Lonchura striata: one gene and its partners. The protein of the gene in region 3 purifies or fractionates together with the protein of the main gene of each other region. This does not show direct contact. Links are inferred from orthologs where the notes say so. Each region holds a gene or a part of one and is shown on either strand. Other genes may lie near its edges.

Region 1 (7,134 bases), on a different chromosome or scaffold from region 3:
GCACAAGGCACAGCCAGACCTGGGAGCCCCTGCAGGAGCCCAGCACACCTTACCTCCACCCACATCCAGCTGTGGTCAGTCTCCAACTTCTCAGGGACAAAAAAGGCTTCCACAGGCCAAGTCACACATCAGGGAAAGCAAATTCCATCCTGGCTGCCCCCCCGGCAGCCAGGGAAACTCTGAAGCACAGGCTTCCAGTGCGTAATTACGGCGCAAGCAACAAGCCAGGCTTTCTTCAAGCCCTTCTGATGCATCAACACATGAGATAGCCAAGGACTCATCTCTGGGAGTTCCCTCTTTGGTTACATAAACACCAACCTCAGCTTAACCCGTTCGTGCTGCAGCACAGGCCACATCTACCAGAAAAAATCCTCATTCCAGCACGACACCCTCACAGCAGCAGCCTGGAAATGCAGCTGCAGCACTTGAGGCTGCATTGCTGCCCCAGCACAGGAGTCCCTGACCTGGTCTGTGCCTGCAGTCAGGCTGTGCTCACCTCCCAAACCCCACCAGGGGTGAGCAGTGGGTTGTATGACAAGGTTTAATTTCTCACTGATTGCTTCTGACACTATCAATATGCTATAAGCCCCTGCAGCAGGACCTCTGCGTGCACAGAGTGTGACCCACACACGTGCTGCCACTTCCCAGCAAGGTGTGGCTGCAGTTTCTTTCAGCAGTGACTCACCTGGCCCTACCTGGAGACAAACGTGTTGAAGTTACCTGCACACATTGCCAGGCCTACGCTACCGGGGTTTGCAGTGTGACAACACACTGACAGGAACTGCACACTCATGAAAAAATATTAACCAAAACAGCCTGTTTCACACAGAAAATGGCCACACAGAGCCTAGTCTGTCCAGCAAGAGGTCCCAGGCAGGAAGGAGACACACACTGTACCTGCCTGGAGCCTCTGCGCAGGTAACATCCCTTGAGCTCAGTGGGCAGGTCAGGCACAATTCCCAGGGCTGTTCCTATTCCTAGTCACAGAATAATTTGGGTTGGGAGGAACCTTAAAGACCCTTCTACCCTCCTGCCATGGGTAAAGAGATTTTTCACTACCCCAGGTTGTTCCAAGCCCTGGAACAACCTGGGGCCTGGAACATTTCCAGGGATGGGGCAGTCACAGCTTCTCTGGGTAACCTGTGCCAGAGGTTACCCTCACAGGCAAGAATTTCTCCCAGATATCCCATCTAACCCTGCCCCCTGTCAGTGTAAAGCCATGCCCCCTTGTCCTGTCACTTGAGGCTCTTGTAAATAGTCTCTGTCCATCTTTCTTGTGGCCCGTTCAGGCACTGGAAGGGGCAGTTATGTCACCCTGAAGGCTCTCTTCTCCAGGCTGAACAACCCCAATTCTCTCATAGCAGAAGTGCTCCAGCCCTCTGATCAGGTTGGTGCCTCCTCTGGACTCGCTCCAACAGGTTGGTGTCCTTTCTGTGCTGAATCACAGCACAGCTTGCTACCTATGAGGCTTCCCTTGCCTCTCCCAAGCTCTGAAACATCCTGAGGGCCACAGCCCAGCTGAACTTTGCTTCTAAGGAGCACACTTATGAGATCAATCCCTCAGCATGGATACCACAGAGAAACAATCAAAGGATGCAGCACGAGCCCTCCAGCAACGGGGAAATATGTCCTGAATCCTGAGTGCTGCCAGCCCAGGGCTCCATGCCAGCAGGTGAGTGCTCCCGTGCTGTCCCTCAAGCCACGCCTCACCTGGGTGCCAGGTGCCTCACCTGGGTGCCCCATTGTGTCCCTGCTGCCTCAGAGCAGCCATCTGTCCCACAGCACAGGGCAGAGGGGCGGTGGCTCAGCCCCACCACATCAGGCAATGGCCTCTGCTCTGACTTCTCCAGCTCCCCCTGGATATGGGATTGCAGCCCGAGACCCCCAGCACACCTGTTTATACCAGCAGATGTTAAGCCTTTTAGCCATTAGGGCTCTAAACTAGCAAAGAACTGAATCCCCAACTCTGGTGCAGCACATTTCAGCACAGCCTGGGCAGGAGGGAGCAGCTGGACGGGCACAACCCTAAATCCCCCATACAGGGGTGGAGACGATGCCCCATGAGGTCCCCCCAGCAGTGAGACACCCTCAGCACTGCACAGGCAGCAGGGCTCCCACAGGCCAGACCAGAGAGGGACAGCACCTGGCTCTGGGGGTGGGAGGTGCCCCAGCCCCTCAGGTGAGCTCCCACGGAGTGCAGGGCAGGGTCTGTCCCTGCTCTGACACCTGCTGATGTTACTCACCCTCACCCAGAGACACAGCCCTCACCTACTCACTGCTGAGGCACACGAGGCTCCTCCTCCGCATACAGCTCCCGAAAGTCTAAATTCAAAGATTCCTGCCCAGACTGGACCGTGACCCCAGTCACGGGCCGTGCTTCCTTCGGCTCCCGGACGGACCTGCCACCGTGCTGGCAGCACCGCCCCAGCCCCCGCGGGGCTCAAACCCAGCCCCGGCCTGGAGAGCACCGAGCCGAGCGGGGCAGCCAAGCCCCCAAGCACCTGGGGGGCTGCCCCGGCCCGGTCCCGTCGAGGCCCGGTGCATGAACGGTACCACCGGCGCGTCTCCCCGCAGCGCCCGGTCCAGCGCACAGGGGCACCGGGACGGGCACCGGAATGGGGACGGGGACCGGGGCCATATCCCACCCGATCCCCGCTTCTCCCCTCAGCCCGCCCCATTCCCCCCGCGGGCCCGGTTCCCCCGGCTCTCTCACCCCTCACTCACCCTGTCCCGGTTCCCCGCTCTCTCACCCGGGCCCGGTTCCCCGCTCTCTCGCCCCTCACTCACGCTGTCCCGGTTCCCCGCTCTCTCGCCCCCCGCTCTCTCGCCCCTCACTCACCCTGTCCCGGTTCCCCGCTCTCTCACCCGGGCCCGGTTCCTCGCTCTCTCGCCCCTCACTCACGCTGTCCCGGTTCCCCACTCTCTCGCCCCTCGCTCTCTCGCCCCTCACTCACGCTGTCCCGGCTCCCCGCTCTCTCGCCCCTCACTCACCCATGGCCCCGGGCCCGGCCCGGCCCGGCCTCGCTCCGCTCCGGCGGCCGCCTGGCACCGGAAGTGACGCGCCGCCACCGCCCCCCGCCGCCAGCCCGCCCCCTGCTGGCCGCCGCCGGAACGGGGAAACGGCGGCGCTGATTGGGCGACGGCGACAGCGCGGGCGGTGATTGGAGGAGAGCCCGGGGGCCGGACCGGGTTTTGCAGCTGGCTCTGATTGGTTAGGACGTGCAGAGGCGAGGGAAGCAAGCAGCGAGCGCTGATTGGCTGTGGCGCGATGAAGCCATCGCTGATTGGCTCAGGCCTGGGCCAGGAGCCCGCAGGGTTGGTGAGCACGCGGGAGATTCGAACGCGCCGTGATTGGCCAAGGGGCGGGGCTTGTCAAGATGGTCCCGCCCACAGAGCACACAGGCCCCGCCCACAGAGCCCCGCCCGGCGGAACCGGGACCCCCGAACCGGGACACCCGAACCGGGACCCGCAAACTGGGACACCTCGAACTGGGACCCCTAAACTGGGATACCCGAACCGGGACCCTCAAACGGGGACCCGCAAACACACCCCGAACTGGGACCCCTAAACTGGGATACCCGAACCGGGACCCCCAAACCGGGACACCCGAACCGGGACCCGCAAACTGGGACACCCCGGACCGGGACACCCGAGCCGGGACCCGCAAACTGGGACACCCCGAACTGGGACACCCAAACTGGGATACCCCGAACTGGGACACCCGAGCCGGGACCCCCAAACTGGGACACCCCGAACTGGGACACCCAAATTGGGACACCCCGGACCGGGACACCCAAACTGGGACCCTCGAACCGGGACTCCCAAACTGGGACACCCCGAACTGGGACACCCAAACCGGGACTCCCGAACTGGGACACCCCGAACCAGGACACCCGAACCGGGACCCCCAAATTGGGACAACCCAAACCGGGACCCTCGAACTGGGAAACCCGAATTGGGACCCCCGAACTGGGACACCTGAGCTGGGACCCTCAAACTGGGACCCCCTGAACTGCACACCCAAACTGGGACCCCCATACTGGGACACCCTGAACTGGGACACCCCAGACCAGGACATCCCAGGCTGGGATATCCCAGACTGGGACACCCGAACTGGGACACCCTGGGTTTGGACCTGCAGACTGGGACACCCTGGGTTGGGTCCCCCTGACTAGAACACCCCGGACTGGGACCACAGAACCCCCACGCTCTGAGCCCCGGGTTGGGACCAGCGGGGTTGGAGCCCTCCGGGCTGGGCTCCCTGCTCTGCCCGGTGCTGCTGCCCAGCCACAGGGCTGTGCAAACACACACCCCTGGGGCACAGCCACCAGCTCCGCTCGCAGAGGCCACAAGGCTCCGTGTCCCGCGGGTCCCTGTGGGAACTGGCCAAGGAGGGCTGCAGACTTTGGTAGCACGGCAGAGTTTGGTGATGGAGGGGCAGGAAGCAGAGGAGCCGGCAGTGCCAGCATCCTGGTAAAGCACGTTCCTGCTTTTTGGGACAGACGATGCTGCCTCTTCCTCTGCACGTTCCCCTTCATCTCGCTCTCTTCTGAGCACAGACCAGAACCAGCCCCTGCCCAGCTCAGCACCAACAGCTCCAGCTCCCAGGGTAGCCATGCTGGTGACAGCAAGTCCTTTGCTCAGCGGGCAAGGAAAGCCTGAGCCAGGGGCAGTGGGATGGCAGCTCCGCTCCTTTGGCCATTGGAGGAGGGACACGAGTAGCTGCCAATGGAACAGGAAATGAGCAGAGAGACCACAGAGCCTTTAAGTGGTGTTATTCACTACAAAAAACAGTCCTGCTCCTCTGCAGGTGTGGGGAACAGCAAGACCCTGAAGTCCCTGGGAGAAAACATTCCTTGGGGGATGTCGTGTGGGATGGAGGGAGCTGGCAGTCCATCAAAGGGGCACCTCCATGCCAGCCCCGTGCCTGGTCCATGCTGGCTGCGGTGGGCAGCACCAGCTCCTCACTTGTGCTTGGCAGGAGGGAACTCCCTGCGGCCCTTGTCGCGGCCCCCGAAGTAGCGCACCCTGTGGATGGCCTGCAGCTGCTCCTCGATGGTGGCCCGGATGTCCACCTCGTCGGGGATGTGCACGTAGCGGATGTTCCTGCCGGTCACAAAGAGCTCGTCCAGCTGGGACACGGCGCCCCGCCTGTCCGTGAAGGTCACCTCGGCCAGGCGCACGTTCATGAAGGCGTCCACGCTGGTGACGCGCCCCGCGGCCGCGCTCTCGTCGCGCAGCTCCACGGTGGTGACGCGGCCGCGCAGGCCCTGCAGCAGGATCACCAGGCTGTTCTCGGCGATGGTGCGCTCCTTCAGCGAGTGGCTCACCTCCATGGCGGCTGCGGTGGGACGGGGGCTGGGGACAGAGGCTGGGGACAGCCACCCGCTGTGCCTCACACCGAGCAGTCCCTTCCCATGGGCTGAGCCCTGCACGTTCACCTGTGCGTGGGCCAAACCCTGCACACACACCTGCACACGGACCAGCCCCTGAACACGGACCAGCCCCTGCACACACACCTGCACATGGACCAGCCCCCGCACACACACCTGCACACGGACCAGCCCCTGCACACACACCTGCACACGGACCAGCCCCTGAACACAGACCAGCCCCTGCACACACACCTACACACGGACCAGCCCCTGCACACACACCTGCACACGGACCAGCCCCTGAACACGGACCAGCCCCTGCACACACACCTGTCCGTGGGCCAAGCCCTGCACACAGACCATCCCCCGCACACACACCTGGCCATAGACCAAATCCTGCACACAGATCATCCCCTGCACACACACCTGTGCATGGACCATCCCCTGCACACACACCTGCACGTGCAATAACCCCTGCACACACAACTTGCCCATGGACCAAATCCTGCTCACATACCTGCCCATGGAATAACCCCTGCACATACACCTGCACATGGACCAACCTCTACACACACACCTGAACATGGACCAGCCCCTGCACACACACCTGAACATGGACCAAATCCTACCAACAGACCAACACCTGCACACACACCTGAACACGGACCAAATCCTGCTCACACACCTGCACACACACCTGCCTATGGACCAAGCCCTCCACACATACCTGTACATGGGCCATCCCCTGCACGCACACCTGCACACGGAATAACCCCTGCACACACACCTACCCATGGACCATCCCGTGCTCACTCACCTGCCCATGGGCCAAATCCTGCCCACGCACCTGCCCGTGGCCCAAGACCTCCAAACACACCTGTATATGGACCATCCCCTGCACACACACCTGCCCATGGACCAAATTCTGCACACACACCTGAACATGGACCAATCCTTGCACACACACCTGCCCACGGACCAGCCCCTGCACGCACACCTGCACACACACCTGCCTATGGACCAAATCCTGCCCACGGACCAATCCCTGCACACACACCTGCCCATGGACCAAATCCTGCCTTTGGACCATCCCCTGCACACACACCTGCACACACACCTGCCTATGGACCAAATCCTGCCCACGGACCATCCCCTGCACGCACACCAGCGCACACACACCTGCCCACGGACCAATCCCTGCACACACACCTACCCACGGGCCATCCCCTGCACACACACCTGCACACACACCTGCCCACGGACCAAATCCTGCCCACGGACCAATCCCTGCACACACACCTACCCACGGGCCATCCCCTGCACACACACTGCACGCCGTACCAACCCTCAAACGCTGCCCTGCACGCACACACGCTGTGTGCGCCCTTGCACTCTCACCTTGCACACGCACCCCAGCCGCGCACACGCGGCCCTTTCACACCCACCTGCTCTCACCCCACCCCGCACTCCCACCGCACGCCCCCCCGTCCCCCTCGCCCTGTCCGTGCCCCCAGCCCCTCCCCGCCCGCTGTCCCCGGTCCCGGTGTCCCCGTCCCCCCCCGCACTCACGCGCCGCCGCCTTCCCGCGCGCTCGCCGCGCCGCCCCGCCCCTCGCGCACGCGCGGCCCCGCCCCTGCCCCGCCCGGAAGCGGCGGGCCGGCTCCGCCCGCTGCCGCGCCGTGCCCGCTGTCCCGGTGTCCGCGTGTCCCAATATCCCATGTTCCGCTGTCCGCGTGCCCCGGTGTCCGCCTGTCCCAA
Region 2 (7,757 bases), on a different chromosome or scaffold from region 3:
GAATTTACAGCTGTGGCTAACAGCAACTTACAGCTCATGTTCAGAAAAATTAGCAAGTCTGCTCTCTGCCTCTGGCAGCATCTTGAATTATCCTTACAGAGGCAAAAAGGCATGGGGGAAACTTCTGTTTCTCACACTGAGATATGTAAAGCTTGTTTAAATCAATTATTTAAACTAACACACACCTGCCTTCCTGGACATTGCTCAAAACTTCAGAGCTGCCCAGTTTGGTTTATTTCTACATAACTATATTGCTAAATCAAATTTAAAAAAAGACAGATACTGTTATTTGAAGCTAAAACAATAATAAGTAAGAACAAGCCCTTTAGCCCACAGAAATATAGAGCAGTGAAAAACCCAAGTTAACTATAACCATTGTCTGCTCATAAAGCTTCTGACCTGTACTTCAGTATGTTCAGTGTGGCTCTTGTAAATACTAAGAAATGACATTTTGCCCTGAGTGCTACTGGGCTGATTTCTTTCCTCTCACTTGTTCAGTCAGTAGTGCTTCTCAATGAGAAGAAAACAGCTAATTACAGGTTCTCCTTGAAGCACGCACAGTACTTACCTGCAGAAAAAAAGCAAGAACCTCAGCTTTCTGAACCATCTAAAAATACATCAAGTCTACAAATTTGTTATGGGTGTAATTTCCTTTCCAAACCCCTCATTTCTTCAACAGACAACAAAATAGGACATAAGAGCTGACTGGAAAGGGCAGGGAGCCATGCTGGCAGAACTCTACTGCCAGAGTGTAAGAGTAGAGGGAACAGAGGAGAATGGGCACTTGTAGCTGTGTTCATACCCCATGACCAGAAAACCTGGGAGCAACCAAGCTCACACCAAGAGCTCCTAAATCCACCTAACATGGCCTAGAACCAGAGCAGGGCATCAGCTGATGACAGCAGTCCTCTCATCCCCATTCTGCTACTGAGCAAACTACTAACTACAGTAAAAGCAGTAATTTTTGACTGTTACTAATTCCTAACAAGAATAACTTATTGTTTTTCCTGCTACTAACTTATTAGCTTCAGGTTTTCACTTCAGTAGCAAAGGTATTTCCTATCTACTCTGCTAAACACTTTACAAGCTGTAAAGTTAAGCCTACAAGGTTTTGAGACAATACCTGTCCTCTGGGAGATGCCTCACATCCAATCCTCACCTGTAAGTCAGAGCTTACATTAGAGCTGTCAAAATAATCTTGGAAGCTGTGGCCCACTTATAATCAACTTTTTTTTACTATCTCCTTTCCATGACTGCTACAACTTGATCTTTTTCCCACTACCTCTTCCCTGTTTGCCTTTCTCAGAGGCAAACACCTAACCTTACTTCCTGTTGTCACATTTTAGCACATTCAACTACAAAAACCAAACCTACTTCTTGTGTTGGGACATTTGAAACCTGCCAGCAACAGATTCAAATTACCAACAGTTCTCAAACCATGGGCCTCAGTTTGCCAATTATGTTGAAAGGTGATTTCCAGCTATGAGCTACAGTTGAATGGCTGGGTGCTAGAAAACAACATCTGTAAAATTTTTAGACCATCACAGAAGAAATTCCCTACTAAACTGGTTGTAGGTGCCTGCCTGATACAAAACTTGTTGCAGTTTCAAACTAGACAACCTTTCCCAGCAACATGGGCAAACCAAGCCAGCTTTGCTGGAGCTATCAAACATCATGAGGGTCCTTGGAGTCCCTTCCAGAGGGGCACTTAATCCTTTGATGAATCCTCTTCCAAAGATGAGAGGGCTCCAGACCACTCGAGGTCACATTGTCCAGGAAAACAAGGCAGTTGCTGTGTTGTCAGAACGTTGTGAGGAAACATCTCGTGCTGCAGGGCCTTTCCAACAACTTGGGTGCACTCAAGGAGGAACCTGCCAGGAATAACCTGATTTTGCTTAAAAATAGAGAGGGTGGAGGCAATGCCGCTACATAGGGCCAAAACCAGACAAAATCAGTTAGGCTGGAAAAGACCTCTGAGATCATCAAGTCCAACCTACGACCCCACACCACCATGCCAACTAGTGGTGTCAACTAGCTGAGTGCTATGTCCAGTTGTTCTCTGAATAGCTCCAGGGATGGTGACTCCACCACCTCCCTGGGCAGCCCATTTCAATATATAATCAACCCTTCTAGGAAGAAATTCTTGCCAACATCCAACCTAGCACAGCTTAAGGCTGTGTCCACTTGTCCTGTTGCTAGCTATCAGAGAGTCTGATCCCCACCTGGCTGCAACATCCTGTCACAGAGTTGTAGAAAGTGACAAAGTCTCCCCCGAGTCACTTCTCCTCCTTAGGCTACCCTAGGAGATCCCCTCCCAACTAGTCCTGGTGCTCCAGCCCTTCCCCAGCTCTGCAGCCCTTTTCTGGACCTGCTCTAACAGCTCCACGTCCTTCCTGAACTGAACGGCCCAGAACTGGACACAGGACTGGAGGTGCGGCCTCACCAGAGCCCAGCACAGAGGGACAATCACTTCCCTACTCCTGCCGGCCACACTATTTCTGACAGAGGCACAAAAGAGGGAAAACCCCCGAGCCACAATCCCCGGCGGGCAGCAGCCGTCCCAGCGCCAGGAGGGGCTGCCGGCTGCTCCCTCCTCCCGCCGCTATTCCACACTCCCCAGGCTTCCCGACGGCATGGCGGCGCCCGGCCTTCCCCCGGTGACATATCGCGACATATCGCGCTCACCACACGAAGTCGTTGCTCTTGTCCTCGTAGGAGTTAATGAGCCCGTTGCAGAGCGGGGTGAGCAGCGGCCTCTTCCTGCCGCCGGCCCCCGGCGCCGCGGAGGAGCCGCCGGGCCGCGCCGGCCCCGCCGCCAGCCGCGCCAGCCCCGCGCCCGACCCCGACACGGCGGCCGCCACCAGCACGGGCCGCGCCGCCGCGCCGCCCGAGGAGGACGAGCCGGGGGCCATGGCCGCCGAGGAGGAGGAGGAGGAGGACGAGGAGGATGAGGAGGAGGAGGAAGAGGAGGCCGGTGTGGCGGCGGGCGGCACGGCGGGGTGCGGCGGGCGGCTGCCCGACATGCCGAGGCCGGGCCGGGCCGGGCGGAGCGGCCTCAGCGCATCCCCGTGCGCGCGGGGGGAAGGGGAAATAAAGTTCCTTCAGAGGAAGAAAACGGGGAGGAGGAATAAAAGAATTAAAAAAAAGAAAAATGAAAAAAAAAAAAAAATCCCGCAATTAAAAAAAAAAAATCAAAAACCCAAAACGGCGGCCCCGGCGCGGCGCTTGTTCAAGCTTTATTGACAGGCGGACAGCGCGGCCGCGCGTGCGCGGGGCGGGGCCGCGCCCCTGAGGGGCGGGGCGGGGCGGGGCCGGCCGCGCTCCCCTCACGGAGCGGCGGAGCCGTGGCCGATGGGCTTTGGGCTTTGGGCTTGGGCTTGGGCTTGGGCTTGGGCTTGGGCTTGGGCTTGGGCTTGGGCTTGGGCTTGGGCTTGGGCTTGGGCTTGGGCTTGGGTTTGGGCTTGGGCTTTGGGCTTTGGGCTTGGGCTTGGGCTTGGGCTTGGGCTTGGGCTTGGGCTTGGGTTTGGGTTTGGGCTTGGGTTTGGGCTTGGGCTTTGGGCTTGGGCTTGGGCTTGGGCTTGGGCTTTCCTACTTCAGCCGCGGGCTCGGAGTGTGGGTCAGGAGCTTCCAGCTGCGCCTCAAGTTGCTCCCCCTGACAGCACATCTAGTGGTGCACAATCCTGAGGTACAAGTCTGTTGAGGAGCGGCTGGGGGAGCTCAGCTTGGAGGAAAGGAGGTTGAGGGGGAACCTTCTCGCTCCCTGTGACCGCCTGACAAGAGGTTGTGGCCAGGTGCGGGTGGGAATCTACTCCTAGGCAAGCAGCGATAGGTTGGAAATAGTCCAAGCTGTGCCGAGGGAGGTTCAGGCTGGACATAGTGAGGAATTCTTTCACACTAAAGGGTGATTATTCATTGGAATGGGATGCCCAGGGAGACGGTGGAGTCAGTGCCCTTGGAGGTGTTTAAGACTGCACATGGTGCCATGGTCTGGTTGACAAGCTGGTGCTGGCTCATAGCTTGGGCTCGATGACCTCACGGGTCTTTTCCAGCCTAATTGAGTCTGTGATTCTGTGATCTCCCTGCACTGAGGGGAAGGCACCCTGGCCTCAGAGGGAAATGTGCCAGGCTGTCACTCAGAGACCCTCCCTGGGCCCCCAGCACCACAAAGAGATCCTGTGAAGGGCAGGGCTGCTCTGTCTCTCACAGGATGTTCTTCACCTTAGTTAGGTACCCCAAAGGGCAGCTCTAAGTATGCTGAGCTTTATCCCATGCCATCCAGCCCCACACAAAGAAATGGATCCATGGACCAAGGCCAATTGTGTGAGGTTCAACAGGTGCCTAGTCTGCACTTGGGTGACAAGAATCCTAGGCAGTGTAACAGACTGGAGGAGGAGTGGCCAAGTGGAGGAGAACCTGAGGGTGCTGGTCAGCAGCAACCTCACCTCAACTGCTATGTCCAGTTCTGGGCCTCTCACTTCAAGAAAGACTTTGAGGGTCTGGAGTGGCTCCAGAGAAGGACAACAGTGGCAACAGAGAAGGGGCTGGAGAGCAAGTCCTCTGAGTAGCAGCTCTGGGGGCTCATGCTGAAGAAGAGGAGGCTCAGAGGGGACTTTATTAAACTCCCTGATAGGAAGGTGTAGCCAGGTAGGGGTCAAGCTCTGCTGTCAGGTAACAAGTGACAGGAGAAGAGGAAAATGGCCTCAACCTGGTCAGAGGAGGTTCAGGTTGAACATCAGGAAGAATTTCTCAATGAAAGAGGTTGTTAAGCATTAGAACAGGGAGGTAGTGAAGTCCCCATCTCTGGAGCTGTTCATGAAAAGATTGGATATGGCACTCAGTGCTCTAGTCTGGGTGACAAGGTGGTGATCAGTCACAGATTGGACTAGATGATCTTGGAGGTATTTTCCAACCTAAATGTTTCTGTGATTCTGTGACAGATGTCTGGTGGTGAGTGAACAGCTTTTCCCAGGTTTGAGGCAGCTTTCTTCTGCCCGGGTGGGTGGGAATCCCAATGGTGAGGACCATAGCCTGTTGGGTTCCTGTTTCCCAACAGCAGGCCTGAGTTTTATACAGCAAGGGCAGACCAGTTTCTGCACAAGTTAATTAGAAAAGTGTTGATAAAGGATGCCCCAAAGATGTTTTGGGTGTTATGAGAAATGTTGTCCCCAGATCCAGCCTTTTACATGCCAAACTGAAAAGTTCATGAAACACAGCACTTGTCAACTCCTTGGCTCAGCCAGAAGTCCTGTGGGGAGATAGCTGCTGTTCCCTTTAATTTCTCTTTCAACAGCCTTTGGAAACATATTGCCTCCTTTGCATTGAGCAACTGTATTGTCCACAGTCAGCTTTACTTGTCTGGAGTGGAGGAGGCAGCTGGTGAAACACTAGGGCATTCCCTGAGGAGGGTAATCCTAAACCCAGGTATGGGAAAACGCCCAAAAAGATCAGCTGCAGCACTCCTCCCAGCAGGGACAGCAGAGTGAGCCGTAAAACCAGTATGGGAGCTGGTAAAACTGGTCTGAGAGAGAGAAAAAGGTGCTTCAGGTAGGCAGTATTGGTCAGGAGACCTCCCAGGCTGTCAGGGATGCTGGATGACAAATGTCCCAAAGGCAGAAGGGCAAAACACAGCTCTGGATTTACCCTGCAGGTGCAGCTGGAGGGGTAGAGCTGCGGAGTGCTCCTCCTGACCTCCCCTCTCAGAGGTGCTGGAATACTACTGGGTATTTGACTCTGTATGTTTACCCCTGATGTTAGGAAAAATCACCAAGGCAGTCAGCAAAACCCAGAATGTCTCTGAGGAATTCAATTCAAGCCCGGAAATTCAAAGTTAGAGTCCCTGAGAGATCCAGGTCAGCAGTCTCACCTTTACAAGGCGACATCTGCTATTAGAGTCACTCCCATGATTTAACTCTTTGTTGCTGTTATTAAAAACGTTTTTTAATATAGCTCTGGGGACTCTTTTTGGTATTTTCTTTTGGGTTTGTGGTTTTTTTAAAGCCATTGGGTTCCCCTGCTTTCTGTAAATAGCTTTCCGACTCACAGATCTCAAGACTAGCTCCATAAAGTCATTGAAGTGTAGTGTTTCCCCTTGTTTTCAGTGGAAGCAAAAGAGAATTGCTGTTATTTAGACCTTTCTTTCAGCCTGGCTGTTAGTGTCTGTGTGTGCATCTTATTTTCTATTGCTAAGAGAAAGGGAAGTCTCATTTCCTTCTCTTCCAGAAGGATCAAAAACTTTATAGATGAGTGCCTACAATGGACTTTCAGAAGTAGTAAGCAGTAGTATTGGCAATAGCACAATCCCATGCTTCACACTGAAATACTGACTGACCCTTGAAAAGTCTTGCTGATGCCATTACTGACTGCTCCAGAGAGAAAAAGATGACACAGGCAAAAGCTGTTAGAGAACAAATGTGTGAGCACTTATGCCGATACATAACTGGCCTTCACAACATCACCTACACCCACAGCCCTGGCAATGAGTGTGACTACCAGCACTTCAATACCTACGGAAGATCTCCCTGGTTCCTGAGCTTCAGGACACCATTATGAGCTCTTGGAGACCCTCTGAGTGAATATCTTCTTTTCACTGCCCAGGTGCATTGGGAGCAGCCTCTGGCTCTGGAGACACTTCTTTCCTGGGGTTACCTTGCATTACCAGTTCCACAGTCCATGTATGCAGCCAAAGGGAAGGTTAGGTGCTGCTTACTGGAGATACCTTTGTGTTATATCAGGAAAAAGGACATGGAAAAAAGTCTTCCAGCTCCAGTGCACTGCAGCTGGAACAGTGATTTGTCAATTATCTTCTAGTTCCTGTTAGCACAAGATGAGCTCTAAGAATTGGTTTGATTTAGTCCAGGTATCAACAACACTGTGATTACTATCAGTGGCGAGGGTACAAGAGTGAAAGAGGATAGATCAGCTGAGAGGTTTCTGTGCCTCCTCCAGCCAGCAGTGTGCCTTTGCACTGCCTGCAGGCCAGAACCCTGCACTGGAGCACAACTCATGATGGGCTCAGGACAGAGGGGAAAGTCTTGGTGTGGGGACACCTGCGCCCTCATGTAGCACACTCCTCATAGGTCCTGCTTCAGAGGATTGCCTCTATTTCCCAACTTAGTCTTAGTGGAGATATGTCTGCCTGCTTTCAGAGTTGTGTGGATCAAGTACAGAAAGCAAACATCACGTATTCCCGACTGGCCTGAAACTTAGGCTGCAAACAAATCTGTTTCTTTGGGATAAGTTGTCTCCAGCTGTACTCCTTAGTGGGTATTTTACGCAAAGAAACTGGTATTTCTGACAGATGTACATTTTGTAAGACTGACTGGAGGAATCTGCTCTAACTTATCTGTGTTTTTAGCCTCTGAAGCCAGTTGCTGACAACATCCCAGCAAAGTAGCAGTTCTCATCTTGTGCAAAGAGAGAAGACACCCTACCCATGGCATTAAAGGAAGGAGAATCCAAGTACTATCTATAGATGAATGAACTTTAGTAGCAGTGTAAGGTTCTGCTCTTTTGGGTACATAAACCCTACTTAACACTCGAGTCTGTGCCATTTGCAGCTGCAGCTCCATTTACTTGTGCAACAAGCAGCTGCAGCCATGGAGTCCAGCCACGGAATCATTAAGGATACTCTGCATAAGTCATCTTGCAGGGAGACTGAGACTTCTTCCACACGAAGTGATCCATGGGCTGCGTGTCTCAGGGAAGTGACAGTCACCTCCCAGGCGCCAGGCTCCGGATTGTTGATGACTCATTAGGAA
Region 3 (7,978 bases):
GAGGTGCCCTTTCACCACCTTTCCAGCAAGACCTCCAGCTAGCTGGTCAAAGGGCACAGCAGGTGACACACAGACACAGAAGGGGACCAGACCCAGACAGATCAGCTAGGAAGGGCCTTAGGGAGTGATCCTGCAGCCTACCAGAATGGGTGTAACCACAGCCAGACCTGACTAGCACCAGGACAAGGACAGGGCTGCCCTAAATGGTATTCCCACCCTGAAGCACCCTAAGTCTCAGGCAGATTGCAGGTCTCTGCAGTTTATAAAGCCCAGACAAAATTAGAGGCTAGGGAACCCCTCTGAGGGCACAGGGAAGCAAGTGCAAAAGGTAACACAAGGACAGCTCCAGCAGTCAACTTAAATGCTTTTATTGACAATGTCTCTGAACAATAATAAGCAAACAATGCTTAAGTTTCATCCAAATTCACTTTCCACATGTCAAAAAAGACTTCAAGGTAGAAAAAAATAAAATAAAAATATAAATATCTGAGAATCCATCTTAATAAATAAATTAAAAACACAATAAAAACGTTTTCATGGAAAACTTATGTCAGAACATTCAGACCACCTCAACAATGCATGATCAGTAAAGTTACAATGAACATCAATGTAGAACTACAGTACATGGATATAGCTATTTATCTACCTACTAGAAAATAAAATAGAGTCTCTTTCCCCCCACGTAAGATGGGTCATTGCTAAGTCATCAGAACACGATATTGCCAGGAACACAGTAGTTATTGTTAATCAGCTGCACTAGATACGAGTTGGAGATACCCAGCACCAGGTTAAATTCCAATCATTTAAAACCAATAGATTAATTAGTTAATGCTAGTGATACTAAGGAGGGGAGGGAGTCACCTACCCAGCCATGTGGGACATGCTACAGACTACCAGCTCTCATGGATGGGCCACTGGGGACAAGACAAACTCCATGCGATTTGCTACATCTCTGGAAGAGGTAAGAGACCTCGGTGCATGACGCTCTGCCAGGCCCCGGGGCACCAGGCCAGACAGGGGGTGGCGGTGGCAGGGCCCTCCCCAGGCCTGGGGAGCCCCATGGGGCACAGCTGCAAGTCCGTGGGGGTGCGTGGGCAGGGGAGGGGGCCCAGCAGGTCAGTCAATGCCGGAGCCCTTCACAAAGCCAGGAGGGTGGGGGAGCTGAGGGAGTCGGACGAGGGCTCATTGCTGCTGCTGCCCTTCCGGTGCGCGGCAGCGCAGCTGGGGAAAGCCTCTGCCTCGGGGTAGGTGAAGACGAAGGTGGAGGTGTAGGTGCTGGGACACGGGGTGCAGGTCACCACAGGGGTGCAGAGGGGCTCCAGCTCACCGCTGGTCCCGGCAGTCAGCGACTCCCAGTCCGACGGGTAGAAGGAGGAGGCCCCAGGCAGGTCCATGTCGGGCACCGAGCGGGAGGCCTCCCGCGGCCCCGTGGAGAAGAGCAGCTCGTCGAAAGGCTCAGCTTTGAGCTCCAGCCCGCTGCTGCTGGTCTCCTTGGGCGGCACGGCCGGCGGCGCTTCAGGCATCAGCGGCAGAGCAAAGGCAGCCTCCTCCGTCATGGGGGGGCTGGGGGTGCCCAGGTCCAGCGCGGTAGCGGCGCTGGCAGCTGCCAGCTCCTCGGAGAAGCACAACTCCTCGGGCATCTTGCAGGCGGGCCGGTGGGCCGCCAGGATAAACTCCAGCTTCTCCTTCTCCTTCAGCAGGTTAGCAATCTCCGCCTGCAGCGCGGACTTCTCCTCCTCCAGCTGGTCGGTCTCCTGCCGAGAGAGCAGGCTGTCAGCCAGGGCCGGCATCACTCCCAGCTGGAGTCCTCTTCCTCCCGTCATCCCCGCCCCCGGTACTCCCTCTATCCCAGCCACCTCCCGGGCAGCACTTACCGCCTGCAGCGTGTCGGTGAGCTCCCGCCGCCGGTTGCGGCACTTGGCCGCTGCCATCTTGTTCCGTTCCCGGCGGATCCTTCTCTTTTCCTCCTCCTCCGGGGACAGCTGCGGGCAGAGAGAGATCGCTCAGTCCCGCTGCCAGCCCGGTGCCCCCCGGCCAGGGCAATCCGCCCGCGGCGCGTCCCCCCGGTCCCCCCATCAGCTGCAATCCGCACTCACCTGTTCGACTTTGCCCCGGCGGCCGATGCTCTGTCCGCGGCCGCCCGGCGCCTTCAGCACTGCGGGGCGGGAGTAGGTGGTGGGGGCGGCCGCCGAGACGCCGTAGGGGTGCCCGCGGCTCTGGGAAGGGGCCACTGAAGAGATGAGAGTGGGCTGCACCAGCCACTGCAGGTCAGGGCTGGTGGAGATGGCCGTCACCGTAGGCACGAAGTTGGCGCTGGAGGCGGCCAGGTCGGTGCAGAAGTCCTGTAGGTCAGAGGAAGGGGGGCTGCCGTCAGCGGAGCGCCCGGGCCGCTCCCCGCCGTCCCCGGGGCCGCGGCGCCGCGCTGCCAGCGCCGGCTCCACACGAGAGCGGCCTGTTATAAATATCTCTGACGTCCGCGCTGACGCAGACGCTGCTCCGGAGTCTCCTCAATGAACTCGCGTTTTATCAATGAAGCCGCTTTACACACCCGCCGCAGAGCGCGGCCCGGGCTACGGCACCCCCCGACCGCCCCGCCTCGGCACCGGGGCCGCTCCCCATGCCGGTCCCCGGCCTGACCTCCTCCGCGGACACGGCTAGCCCCGTACCACCCGCTCCCGTCCCGTCCCCTCCTGAGCGCTCCTGCCCTGCCCCGGCCAAGAGCGCAGCCCGCACGCTCAGCAACTCACCTGCGGGTTGACAGGGGAGCCCATACTCGAGAATGAGTCCGCCGGGGAGGGGTAATAGGTGAGGCTGTCCCCGGCCGGGGAAGCGCTGCTGCAGCGGGAGGACGGCGCCTCGTACTCTCCGGCGAAGCCCTGATACATCATGTCGGCCCGGTACGCGCAAGCCGAAGGTGAGAGGTGATGCGACGGTGGCAAAGTGTCCTTGGGGATGAAGCGAGGAGGGGTCGGCTGCGTGCGTCCCTGTGCCTGGTCCGCGCCGCGCGTCTCTCCGCTCCACCGCCGGGGCTGCCCGAGCTGCTGGAGTACCGCGCCGTGCCTCCCTTTTATACCCTCCCGCGACGTCACAGGGGACGTGCCACCCGCGCCTGTGGGGGGGGGTCGGCCGCCCCGCGCCCGCCCCGCGCCTCCCCGGGGCCGCCCCGCGCGCAGTCTGCCACCGCCCCCCCCGGGAGAGACCCACAGCACGGGGCGGGGGGAGGCCGCAGGGGCAGGGGGGCCCCAGAGCAGAGCAGGAGGGAGCGGCCACGGAGCTGCCCCCCCGCGCGGAGTGGTACGGCCGGGCTCGGGAACCCACTGACGCAGATATCCTTATATGGGATACATCCTGTGCGAGGGGGCGTGACTGACGGGAAGCGCTCCAGGCTGCAGCCAAGTGCGGCGGGCGGGCGGGCGGCGCGCGGGACGGGACGGGACGGTTCGGGACGCGCCGGCCCCTCCCCCATCGCCTGGCGAGACCCGGCGAGGGCTCTGGGGCACCGACCCTGCCCTGGGGGCTGCCGTGCCGCAGCAGCTGACCCCCTCCCCGGGGGCGCCGGCCCGCCGCAAGTGCGCCCCTCCCTTCAGCGGGGCCCCGCACAGCCTTGCAGCCTTGGGGCAAGGTGCTCCAAGGAAGGCGGCGAAGAAGGGGCCCGGCGGGCCAGGGGTGCGCTTTGCGCTGCAAGTCAAGCCCCATCGTCAGCACTGAGCGGGGTCTGCCCCTAGCTGGGCACTGGTATTCAGTGGGCCCCATGCACGGAAAGCTCAACTTCCACGCGTCCCTCCAGCGAGGAGCGCGTTATGCTCATGTGTCAGTACTGACTTCTCTCTCATGTATGTTTGTAATTGTCGAGAGTGAGGGTAATGGCAGAGGGCGGTGGGAAGCCTGAGGGGCCGCAGCCCTCCGGGAAGGTTGGGAGAGCTTGGGAGCAGCGCTCGGGGTGGGGGTGGGGGGCTGGGATAGCCGCCAAGAGCATGGGCAAGAGGCCACCGGGAAACCACCGACGAGGAGAGAGAGGGGCGAGGCTCGTCCTTTCCTCCAGTTTGGGTTTTGTTTTGATCCTTGTTGCAGCGAAGCCCGGAGACACCCACCCACGACGGGGATGTCAGGCAGCCCTGGCTCAGGTCAGGCTAAGGTGGGAGCCAGACCGCAGACTCGCCTTGCACGGGAGCCAAGAGATCGCGGCTATAGATAGTAACAGGGAAGCTGCAGCAGGGAGCGTGTTTACAGCAACAAACAGAGCCTGCAGCGCAGTCTCTAGGCAGGAGCGTCACCCAGCCAGGCTGGGATCCTGCTGGCAGCCTCTCCCTCTGTTTGAGCTCATGGGCTAAATGCAGCGCTTGATGCTGCTGCTGTTGCTGTTGCTGCGCGAGCAACCTCCGTTCTTAGAGATCTGGGCCACGGGGGCGGGAGAACTGGGCCAGCTGCTATTTCTGATCTGCCCGTCAGAGCAGAGGGGACAGCCAAGGACTGCCGCAGCTCACGGCCCATACCGCTCCCTGGGAAAGGACCTGCGGGGGCCCGTGCTGCTCTCATCAGCTCAGTGCTGGCCCGTAGGCTAGTCCATCCCGGGGCAGGCATCTGTCACCCCAGGTTCCTGTGGTGCCATGGGTTCTTTTCTCTGGCCAGCATTCCCCTCATGCCAGCTACTAAAAGACTGGGGCAAGTATGGTCTCTTCAGCAGCCCGAGGCTGCAGGTGAGGAGGCCCTCAGCACTGCCCAGAGGAGGGACGTGCCAGCAAATTAGCAAAGCCACGATTCTGCCATCCCTGCCAGCAGTGAGCAACAGGCCAAACCCCTGCAGCCACATCCCCACCAGGGCCTAGGTCAACGTATCGGTGCCCAGCATGGGCAAGAGCCTCTGACACAATTTCCAGTCTCAGATATTTGCCAGGCACATTTCGGAAAAATACTGTTTAGCCCTCCTCTCTAGAAACTATCCCAGGGTTCCTCTACCCAAACCACCTTCCCCAAAAGAAGTGTCAGGAAATCAGGAGGGAATCCACTTCACCAAAACCCACAATATTTTTGTGGTGCCCATGCAAACCATTTGTTGCCATCTCCACTGGTGACAAGCATGATCTGTTTGTACCAAATGGAAAGTGCACAGATGCCGCACATTTCTAACACGTGGGGCAGCGAAACAGAGAAAGCAAAAACACATGACGTGGGTTTGTTGTTTGCTCCAAACACAGGGTGCACACGTTTTACCACAGTATGTGTGAGAACAAAAAAAGGAAGCAGGCGGTACCACAGGGACAAAACAGAGTCAGAGCATGAACCCTCCTGCCTGGGTGAGAGGGTTGCCCTCACCAGCATGCCAGGCTGATGGAGGTTCCTCACCTCCCCTGCCAGCTGGGAACGGGAAGAGGCATTAGACCCTGATAAATTAGTTTGATCTGTGGAGTGGACCATGAGTTCAGTGAACACTACAACATTATTAAACCTGTGCAACCAGGGTCAGCAGGGCTTTTACATGCTCTAGTGGTGCTTGGTCAGGCTTCATCTGCAGGGACACACCTCTCTAGGGACTATTCCCTTGCTTCAGACAAGCCCACTGCACCTCTGGGTCCCATGCTGATGAGGAGGAGTTGGCTGCTGACTGTCACCAGCAGGGAGATGACTCTTCCCAGGTGCCTGGCCAGACAGAAGACGCCATTCCCACTTCACTTCTTGGGCATCACAATGGGGCCGGCAGGGCAGAAGGACAGCATCCATCCAATGAGCTCTTGTTCTGCATGCCAACAGAGCCCCTCCACCTTCCTGGCCTCCACTTTTTCTCCTACCAAGAAGGGAGATGGGAAAGCTTGCAGGTCTGAGGCTTATAATAGAACAGTGAGCCCCTAAGCCTCAGAGTACAGCACTGGAACTTGGCTCTACTTTCACACCCATCCTTCACCTGAGCCTGCAACTCAGGCTGACCTTGGAAAACTACAGCAGAAAAGCACCTGAGGTATGTGTGCCAGGGCAACTACACAGTCAAAACCCACTTCAGGGGCAAGAGATGGCTGTGCCTAAATTTGGCCATGCACCAGGGGAAAGTTCATGGCCCTTTGGTAGTCACATGACCATCTCAACCCACTCTCTGTCAGCAGCGCTGACTGTAGCATGTTCCATATTCCTTCTCTAGACACACAACGTGATGGACATCTGCTTCCAGCTAACCAGGGACTGTTGGGGTCATTGGGAAGGAGACCAGACAGCCAGAGTTCAGCAGCAGAACTGGCATGCATGGGGCACTGCTGTGACACCAAAAAATAGCACCCCTGCACTGAGAATTCATCACTGCCTGGGGAAGCAAGCATCCTGCTCATACTATCAGAGGATCCGCACAATAATCTGAGCACCTGTTGTGGTACAAATTTTATAGGCAGGATCCAGGGGCATTTGTGAAATTCTCCCCGAACACACCTGCACATCCACTGCTCCTGGTGTCCTACAATGCACAAGGGATCCCATCCTTCCCCTTGTCCCCAGAGAGGCTTTTAAAGTCAGGCAGAGGCTGCAGGGCTTAGAAGAAAATGGGATGGAAAAGCAGAAAAGGGGGTTGAAAAACCAGTGGCAAGAGCCTGCCCCCTCTGTTGATGTGGCTGGGGAGCAAAGGGTGGAGAAAGGGCTCATAGTATGTTATCTGAGTGTCCTGAATTCCCCCCAAGACACACTGCAGCTGTCACCCTTCTACCTAGCCTGGGAGCCTCCGGGAGGGCAGGGCTCCCACCTCTGCTGGTCTTAAAGGTACAGTGCATACCCAAAGCAAAGTATAAATAGTAATTAATAATCACAGCAGCTGGGTGTGTGACAGGGACATCCTAAAGAATAAACACCACGATCAAAGACATCCTGGCATCTCGTGGTCGCACAGCCGCGTGCCATGGGCCACCAATTACTGCGGATGTTACTGTTGTGCCATCCCACTTATTCTCATCACTCTTTGCCTGCACCATGCTGGATACTGACTCGCCAGGCACAGCTGGACCTTGCTGCACACACTGAGGAACCTGTGCACTGCTCACAGCCAGCAGGTGTGAAAGAGCTTCGCCCATTGAAGCACTGCCTCTGCACCCTCTTGCCCCAAGGCCAGGCTGGCAGCCATCACCCCACGAACCAGGGTTCATAACCTAGGGCAACTGGAGCACAAAGTTCTCCAGATAAAACTCCTGCTGCTGCCACCACCAATGTGCCGTGTGTGCTATGGCAGTGCGACAAAGCCGGAACACCATGGCCAAGCTGGCCTCTTAGCTCCCTGCCAGCTCCAGCACCACAGGCCCATCCCAGGGCATTGGGCATGCTCACAGTTACAGTCCCAGGGCACTAATGAGCTTGGAGGAGAGGAAAACATGCTCAGTGAAAGGCAGCATGTTCAAACCCAGTGACAGACAGGATGATGCAGGACTTTTCTGATTATCAGAAAAGATCCAAACAAGGCAAGCATAGCTGGGATTTATTTCCTTGATGGAACCCCATGAGATGCCTGCAATAAAAACCCACACAATCAAGAGAAAGCTTGGGCTTCCTGTTGTGTCCAAGAGCTTTCTGGAGGTAGGAGCTGAATGGTCACATTGCACAAACTACCTCCTTCCTGTGTGGCTGGGCAGCAATACTGATGCTTGTGCTGGGGGCTGAGTAAAGGGACTGGGGCTGGGTACAGGGGTCCTGCTCCTCTGTTAGTGTAGTGGCTCTTGAGTAAAATGGGTCAAAGGTAGCAAAGGAGGAAGTGCTGAGAAGAAGGAGGAAAATGCCACTGTGCTTAGTTAAGGGGATTTTGTTACAGATGGAGAACAAAGCAGCTGAAGTGAAGGAACAGGATGTTGAAGATTGTTTAGCGCGGGACAGAAAGAAGATTTCTAATTGTTGTGACTGGGGAGTGCTCTGGGGAAAGAAAGGCTCAAGGCAACTCAGGACAGACAAAGGATTACAAAGGATAGTCTGGGAGGAAGAAAGACACTCTGAGCCTTTATCACTGCCTGGAGAAACAGCC

Evidence for each region.
Region 1: the proteins of FOS (region 3) and STK40 purify together in Homo sapiens (affinity purification with mass spectrometry; 3 studies listed by BioGRID and IntAct, counting the BioPlex papers as one, with this or other methods). This does not show direct contact. The link is inferred for Lonchura striata from reciprocal best matches to the Homo sapiens genes FOS and STK40.
Region 2: the proteins of FOS (region 3) and COP1 purify together in Homo sapiens (affinity purification with mass spectrometry; 4 studies listed by BioGRID and IntAct, counting the BioPlex papers as one, with this or other methods). This does not show direct contact. The link is inferred for Lonchura striata from reciprocal best matches to the Homo sapiens genes FOS and COP1.

The regions. Positions count from the first base shown.
Region 1 is NC_134628.1:4,218,922-4,226,055, forward strand, and holds the start of STK40 (serine/threonine-protein kinase 40), read right to left. Parts: upstream 3,086-7,134; 5' UTR 2,992-3,085; intron 1-2,991. Other genes in the region: U7 snRNA-associated Sm-like protein LSm10, read right to left, coding at 4,966-5,342, 6,946-7,134. UniProt on the Homo sapiens protein: May be a negative regulator of NF-kappa-B and p53-mediated gene transcription.
Region 2 is NC_134611.1:3,320,946-3,328,702, reverse strand, and holds the start of COP1 (E3 ubiquitin-protein ligase COP1), read right to left. Parts: upstream 3,030-7,757; 5' UTR 3,024-3,029; coding exon 2,686-3,023; intron 1-2,685. UniProt on the Homo sapiens protein: E3 ubiquitin-protein ligase that mediates ubiquitination and subsequent proteasomal degradation of target proteins.
Region 3 is NC_134608.1:23,109,088-23,117,065, forward strand, and holds FOS (protein c-Fos), read right to left. Parts: upstream 3,027-7,978; 5' UTR 2,889-3,026; coding exon 2,748-2,888; intron 2,343-2,747; coding exon 2,097-2,342; intron 1,983-2,096; coding exon 1,875-1,982; intron 1,755-1,874; coding exon 1,137-1,754; 3' UTR 353-1,136; downstream 1-352. UniProt on the Homo sapiens protein: Nuclear phosphoprotein which forms a tight but non-covalently linked complex with the JUN/AP-1 transcription factor. In the heterodimer, FOS and JUN/AP-1 basic regions each seems to interact with symmetrical DNA half sites.